Rattus norvegicus: one gene and its partner. The protein of the gene in region 1 binds, or shares a complex with, the protein of each later gene. Links are inferred from orthologs where the notes say so. Each region holds a gene or a part of one and is shown in the gene's direction. Other genes may lie near its edges.

What was found. The genes of interacting proteins can lie anywhere in the genome.
Region 2: the proteins of Stap1 (region 1) and Lat2 are in contact, whole or in part, in a crystal structure (PDB 3MAZ), measured with the Homo sapiens proteins. The link is inferred for Rattus norvegicus from reciprocal best matches to the Homo sapiens genes STAP1 and LAT2. Residues at the interface, in NP_001304698.1 of Homo sapiens: Arg184, Arg203, Pro204, Gly205, Ser206, Ser212, Ile215, Gln217, Ile219, Lys225, His226, Tyr227, Lys228, Glu239, Leu240, Glu241, Tyr255, Phe256, Glu259, Thr260, Arg261, Asn263, Leu264; in NP_054865.2 of Homo sapiens: Asn134, Ser135, Tyr136, Glu137, Asn138, Val139, Leu140, Ile141, Lys143.

The regions. Positions count from the first base shown.
Region 1 is NC_086032.1:22,322,489-22,326,048, reverse strand, and holds part of Stap1 (signal-transducing adaptor protein 1), read left to right. Parts: intron 1-1,558; coding exon 1,559-1,615; intron 1,616-3,448; coding exon 3,449-3,560. UniProt on the Homo sapiens protein: In BCR signaling, appears to function as a docking protein acting downstream of TEC and participates in a positive feedback loop by increasing the activity of TEC.
Region 2 is NC_086030.1:27,739,381-27,743,554, forward strand, and holds the start of Lat2 (linker for activation of T-cells family member 2 precursor), read left to right. Parts: upstream 1-1,334; 5' UTR 1,335-1,389; coding exon of another isoform or gene 1,390-1,413; intron 1,414-4,174. UniProt on the Homo sapiens protein: Involved in FCER1 (high affinity immunoglobulin epsilon receptor)-mediated signaling in mast cells.

The DNA.
Region 1 (3,560 bases):
CAAAATCAAATGTACTGTCACACCAGCCATTTATTTTTCCTTGCTATATTTCAAACTCCACGAGAATGAGAATTTTTATTTTGTTTCCAATATCTACACTTAAAGATATGTATCTTTTAATTGAACGGATACAAAAAAAGCATAATAAAAACGCCATCTCTTGCTAAGTCTCCTTGAAGATTTTCAAAGGATAAACTTACAACACCATAACATAGAAAGATCTTAATTCGTTTTATAGCCTACTAAAGAACCAGATGTGTTTTATTCCACACAATAAAATATTTCAATTAGCTGAAAAGAAGAAATTAATTTTACAGACAAGGGAAACTAAAACAAATTTAAAACCAGTAGTAAGGTTAATTGCTCATTTCAAAAGCTTCCATTGTAGGTAAAAACAGAAAGACAAATGATAGAAAAATGATTGCGATCAGGTTACTTCGGGCTACTTTTTTTCGGACACAGAGGAAACAAATTGAAGTTGATCTGTATGGGAAATGTGGTTGTTATTTTTTTTAACTGATCTCTTAAGAAGGCAAGATAACATTTAGCTTTGGTTTAGTGATGTGGAACATCAGCAAAGACGGTTCCATTTTTATTTCTAGTGAGGATCATTTGGGACCTCAGTGAAGAAACCTAGCAAGCAATGGCCACACATAACCTTTCTTCAATATGATTAAGGAGGTAATACCTGTGGAGTGCATAGATAGATGCACTCTGGGTTACGGTCACGTTGTTGTTTGACTCTGAGAATGCTAGGTAGCTGGGAATAGCTTCTAGAGATTCTCCTCTCTCTACCTCCTATTTTGCCAGAGGCACACTAGGATTATATGTCTCAGTGTGCCCAACTTTCTGCGACTTCTCGAGGCTTGAATTCAGGTCTTGACACTTGTGTGACAAATGCTTCATTCACCGAGCAATCCCGCTTCCAGTCACCTATATTTTTGCTTGCCAATAAAAGAAAACGGGACTGAAATATTTCATGATAAATATGTTAATTCTAAGTAAAAAAATTGAAGTATTTCTCCATGAAGCTGATTTTATGCAGTTTAAATTTTTCAAATGATCCTATTTAACAAAGTTCCTGAACAGAAGAAAATCTTGCTTCTCTCTCTCTCTCTCTCTCTCTCTCTCTCTCTCTCTCTCTCTCTCTCTCTCTTCATGTATGAGGGGGCCAGAAATTGACAGCAGACATTTTTCTCACTCACTCTCCATCCTATACATAGAGACAACACCTTTCACAAGGACCCCACGGCTTCCCAATTTTACGAATGTAGCTAGCCAGCTTGCTCTAGAGATCCTCCATCTGCTCCTTCTAGGCACAGGGATGACAGTTAAGCTGCCACGTGCATCTGGCATTTTTCTTGGTTCTAGAGGTCCAAATTCTGGCCTTCATGCTCACTTGGCAAATGCTTTAGCCAAAGAGCCACCACTCTGACCCGAGATCTTGCTAGCCTTTGATGGCAAACCTACATTGTCAGAAATTAATCCAGTGAAATTCTTGTTATTTAAAGTTAATACAGATCATTCATTAATTTCGTGCTTTCTGCTTTATCTCCAGACAGAAAACACAGAAAGTGGGGAAGAATGGAGGGGCTTCATTCTTACAGTAACAGAGGTAAGGGGGCCATCTGCTTCTTTTGCTGAGACAAGGTGTCAATAGCCCATGGTGGTTGCAAACTTATGATTCTCCTGTCTCCACCTCCCAGGTGATAAGATTAGCGCTGTGAGTCACCATGCCCACAGAAGCTCATTAAAGTCTGCTGCTCCACCTGGTTGTAAACTAGTTGTTAACACCTGCTGCAACCATGTACATTAAAGTGGCTGGGATGTAGAAACTAGAAAAGGCAGATAGAAATCCATGCTTTTGTTTCTAAAAGTCATATTTTTTATCTCATTTTATCTGGTGGGTTATGAGTGCTGTTACTAAGCACAGCCTATTTCACCTTATGATAACTACTCTGAAGTAATTAGTACTGGTGGGCAAGGGATGAGAGAGATCACCTTCATCTATGATTTTCTGCTCTGTAAATGTTTAGGGCATGGCATGAACTCACAGTCTGTAAATGATTTGTTAAAATGTTCCACTGTTCTGATACTGCTCCAAAACGGCATAATGAGGAACTAGACTTGGATATGAGAACAATTTACTAGGACATAGTTGGGTGATTCAATCAAAACCACACTGCTAGAAAAGGTAGTAGTAACAAGAGAACCAACTACCATAATGTTCTTAGGCCTTTAGCAGAGGAGCCCAGGGATCATGGGCTGCCCTTGTTGCTTTATTTGACAGACTACAATCCTCATTCCTGAGTCCCAAGAGCCTCATTCTGAGTCTTAACAATGAATACACAACAATAGGAATTAATGAAATAGTAACTAAGCATGGGACTGGACGCATGCACACACGCATGCACGCACATATATCACCTGATGAGTACTCTTGTTCTGGTGGCCAATTATAAGACATGGCTGCCCCCATGGCTAGCTAACATGACAGTTAGAAAAATGTTGTACCATACTTCCCCAGAAAGCATAGGTTGTTCCCAACTAAATTTTGAGATGTGGATACAATTAACCAGACTTTACATGGATAATGGAACTCAAAACACATTTCTAGAGAACAACAAAACTAATATGCAGAGAAGAATCAAATGTGAGTGGGTGGCTAGACACAGAGCACAGTGTAAACCTGTTGATCCTATGCCCACCAAATCCATGTTGTCACAATAGTGTGGAGCTTTTCCAAGTTAACTAGTGTGAGAATAAGGAATCTCCTGGAGATCCTAAACTTCCTAGGCATTGCAGAGGTATCTGAGTTCAGGATGAGAAATGAGAGATTAGCTGAGTGTTGGTGGCAAATACCTGGTCTACGGAGCAAGTTCCAGAAGAGCCAGGGCCATACAGAGAGACCCTATCTTAAAATCCCCCCCCACAAAAAAAAAACAAACAAAAAAACAAAAAAATACTCGCCCGCCCCCCCCCCAAAAAGAAAAGGAAGATTGAGAGATTAGTTGCTACTTAGCTCATAGTAAAAAGTGTATGCACTTTGCCCTGAGACCAGATCAAATATGATCTCGACCAGGCATGGTGTTAACACACCTTTATTCCCAGCACCTGGTAGATCTCTGTGCATTTGGTATCAATTTGGTGTTCAGAGTGAGTTCTAGGACAGCCAGGACCACATAGAGAGACAGTTTGTTACAAAACAAAACATATAACCTAACTAAACCAAGCAAGCAAGCAAGTAAATACTCTGTGCAGGTTCTAGTTGGTATAGGGGCAGTACTGTAATGCCCATGTTAGACTGGAATCTTCTATTTACTGTCCTGTCCGTTTGTCTCTGGCAGTGGCTAGATAGTCAGTCACTACACATAGGCTCCTCTCTATTAAAGACAGTATTGCTATTCAGCTGCAGTTTTAGTTTGCCTACTGTTTTAACTGATTTCAGTTGTCAGTTCCTCAACACGTGTCACTTCTACCTGGACAAGTGATTAGACTGCACGAAGTCTTAGAGAGAGAAAAGAAAAGAAGGACTGAGACAGACCAACTGCCAGTCATGC
Region 2 (4,174 bases), on another chromosome or scaffold:
GAGGCATTTTCTGTCAACACAGTCTGAGCTCAATCCCTGAGACCCACGTGGTGGAATAAGAACCAACTTCAGGAGCTGGAGAGATGGCTCAGCGGTTAAGAGCACCTGACTGCTCTTCCAGAGGTCCTGAGTTCAAATCCCAGCAACCACATGATGGCTCACAACCATCTGTAATGGGATCTGAATCTGTTCTTAAAAAAGAGAGAGAGAGAGAGAGAGAGAGAGAGAACAAAGTGGAAGACACCAAGACTGACTTCTCGACTTCCACCACCACCCACAGACATGCACACAGAGGCAGCTTGTCTGTCTATCCAACTGTCTCTGAAACAATGGTCCTTTGTCCCGTCTGCCATCTTTGTGCCTGTCTTCCTGTCTCCCATGTGCCTCATCTTTTTATCTGCCCTAAAGTAATAGTTCTATGGGATTCACTCTAGTCTCCGTCTCTCCAATGCCTGTGGAAGGACTCTTGTTTCCTCTTCCCCGTGGTTGTCTGTCTACATCTGGCTCTCCCTCTTCATGATCCTCTCCTGACCTGCATCTCCCCATCTGTGGTGTCTGACTGGTGTGTGTGTGTGTGTGTGTGTGTGTGTGTGTGTGTGTGTGTCCCTCCAAACTTTCCATCTGTCCTGTCCACTTCTGTGTGTCCATGTGAACTCTTCGAGTTGAGTCTCCCTTGTCCCTCACTGTGCACCTCCCTTCCCCATGTTCCGTGTAACCCGGTTCTGTACCGGGGCATGTGCTGTGCGTGCTGGGCTTTTCAGTCCTTCCGTGCCCTTCTCTCACTTCCCATTTCTCCTGTCTGTTTCTGTTTTCTTTTCTGCCCCTCCACCCCCATGGGTGTGTGTGTGTGTGTGTGTGTGTGTGTGCGCGCATATATGTCTGTGCGTGCTTGCCCACATGCACGCTGCACATATGCCTGTCTGTGCATACATGTCCACGTGCATCCAGAGACCTAGCCGGTATCAATTTTCTCTCACTACATGGTTTCAGGTGATAGAACTCAAGTTGTCCAGCTTGGTGGAAAGTGCCATTATCCAGTGAGGTTTTTTTCTTTTTTTGAGACAGGGACTCACTGTGCAGTTGTCCTGGCTGGAACTAACTATATAGACCATGCTGGCCTCAAACTCGGAGACCGACCTGCCTGCTTCTGTTTCCCAAGTGCAGGCATTTAACGACATGCACCACCATGCCCTGCTCTTCTCTCTCTATCTTTTTCTGTCTTTGCCCCACCCCCTTTGTCATTAACCACCCTAGTAGTCTGGCCGAGGCGGATGTAGAGGGATGATTCAGTAGTGACAGGAAGCCAACTGCCTTGCCCGCTGCTCGCCAGAGTCAGTGGTGCTGTTGGCATCAGCCTGGGCAGGTGTGCGGGCACAGGATGAAGTGGCCATGGTGAGGAGCCCTCATTCTCAGGTATGTCTTCTCCAGGGGTACTCTGCTGAGCAGGTGTCCCTTGCACTGCAGCCCCCAAGACCCTTAGCAATAGACTGAAGAGAAGCCAAGACATCTGGTACCTTCCGCCCCGGCCTTGCCCTGTGGCCCTCTCGGAAAGTCTGTCTCGGGAGCTCCAGGCGCCTACTTATCTATCATTGTCTTTCCAAACCCCTAGCCTCTGAGACTCCCAAGAAGCCCCCTAGGGTGGTTCTGTCACTAACAATGGGAAGGGCCAGCCAAAAGCCAGAGATGTGAGGCTCTCCCATCCATGGAGGATTGGCTAATGCCACAGGCCTGGGATGCTTTGGGGAACTGTGCCCAGTCCCTGTCCCACCCAGGGGGGAGTTGCTATCCCCAGAAGTCCATCCAGGCCTGAGCTGGCTTCTACCTTCTGACGGATAATCCTTGTAGCACTGTTGGGCTCCTTGGTTCTGGTTCTGAACGGGTGGCTCAGGTTGGCCAGGGTCTGCCAGACCTCGGCCCGCGGGCATACTCACATAGACGCGAACAATCTTCCTGGCCCCTGGCTCCAATAGGTTTGTTCAGTCTTCTCTCCACCTCACTCAAAGCCCCAGATTATTTGGTCAGCCTGGGTTTTATAGGCTCCTGTAATTACGGCATTAGGAATCCTGCAGTAGAAGGGCGGTGAGTTCAAGGCCAGGCTGTGCTGCATTGTGAGGCCCTGCCTCAAAGGAAACAAACACTACAGAAATGTTATCCAGCTGAGACCACGGGCCTCAGAGTAGCACCCCATGAATAAAGCCATCCCAGGAGTGAGGTGCGTCCTGTGCCTCGTCCAAGCGGACCCTCGTGGCCTCTGCTCCCCGAAGGATGAGCCTTTTGACTGCAGTGATCACTAAGGGCCATTGAGGTTAGAAGCTCTGATGCAGCCCTCAGAGGCAAGCTTTGTTCATATGAAAACTGCCCACTTCCCTTTGAGCTATTTTGGCCCACGGAGCCACAGAGCTGTGGCGGTCCCCCCCCCCACACCCACAGCTAGCCCTGCCTGGCCCCTTGGGGCTCTTCGAGACTGCTGGGCTGCCCCTCCTGCAACCCCAGCCTCTGTCCCCCACACCCTCAGCCTGCCTGCTGTCCTTCAGGGTAAAGAGCATCCGATGGGATGAAGGGAATTCACCGCGCCTGCGCTGGGTTTCTGTCTTTTCCGGTGTTTCTTTGGGACACAGTATGCGCCTCTTTGAACCTCCATTTGCTCCCTGGGAAGAAAACAGGCTTGGAGTGGTCCCCAAGTGCGAAGCAAGCCCCAGACCCTGTCCAAGAAGCACCCCATGCACTCACACCTGCTCTTTTTTTTTTCTCAATATTTTAATACATTTTAAATTACTGTATGCATGGATGGGCGCCTGTGTGGCACAGCGTAGGCCAGAGAATAACTTGCAAGAGTTACTTCTTACCAACCACCATGTGGGTCCTGGGGATCGAACTCAGATCATCAGACTTGGAGGCAAGCGCCTTTTACCTGCAAGCTATCTCACCAGCCCCCATTCAGAACCTTTTTTTATTCGTCTGCATTAATTATGCAGACTAATAGGCTTATGACCTTTCCATATGGCACGTGCCTTGATCATGTTCACCCCAAAATCACCTCTCTTGTGATTCCCACTGGTCCCTTCTCTCCCAACTAATCCCCTTCTGATTTTATGTTCTTTTCTTGGGGGTTGGGGATGGGGGTAGTGGCCCAATGAGTTTCATTAGCTTCATGTAGTTTCATTACAAGATGTGAGTGAGGGGTTACCCACAGGAGCACGGGCATCTTACCATTGAGGAAGCGTGCTTCCTCTCTCTCTCTCTCTCTCTCTCTCTCTCTCTCTCTCTCTCTCTCCCCCCCCCTCCAGCAACCTTTCTTTTTTAATTATTTAAAATATTTAAGTAAGTTGGAATATGACGATGCAGCCTGGGAGGCAGGCGCAAGCCAGATTCTGTGAATTCCGGGCCAGCCTGGTCTATGCAGTGAGGTGTTAGACCCATCAGGGCTACGCAGTGACCCCCGGTCTCCAAACCACAATGTATGTGTGTGAGCACTTTGCTTGCACGTACACGTGTGTACCCCATTCATGCCCGGTGCACACAAAGACTGGGACAGGGTTGGGTCCCCTGGAGCTGGAGTTATAGATGGTCGTGAGCTGCCATGTGGGCGTTGAGAGTCAAACCTAAGTCCTCTGGGAGAGCGTCGCGCTCTTGATCTCTGAGCCATCTCTCCTGCTCACCCTCCCCCAACTTGCCCCCTCCCCCCCATGCTGGGAATGGAGCCCAGTGCCTTGCCCTTGGCTCTGTAAGTGTCTATCTTCTTTACTGGGTGATTCTAGCAGACAGGTACTCCTAGTCGTGTCCGCAGCCTCATGCTGCTAGATTCTAGGCAGTTGCTCTCACTAAGCCACACCCCCTGGGGGCATTCTAAGCAAACGTCCTAGAATGCCCCCCCCCAGGCCTCTTTAAATGTTTTGTGGCAGAGTCTCATTGGATTTGAACTTGCAAAATAGCCCAAATAGACCTTGGAATTCCCAATATCCCTGCTTCAGCCTCTTGTGCTGCTGGCCTGCTCCACTAGATCAGGCGTATCTACTTCAGTAACCCCTCAGACCCCACTGGGGTCAGTAGAGGGAATCCACATGTCCCTCTAGCTGTCACCAGGCGGATAATATAATCCCTCAGTCTTTGCTGCAGGCCAAGTCCCTTCCCATGTCACATGGCTAAGAACTGTGACTAGAACAGGCGTCATGGA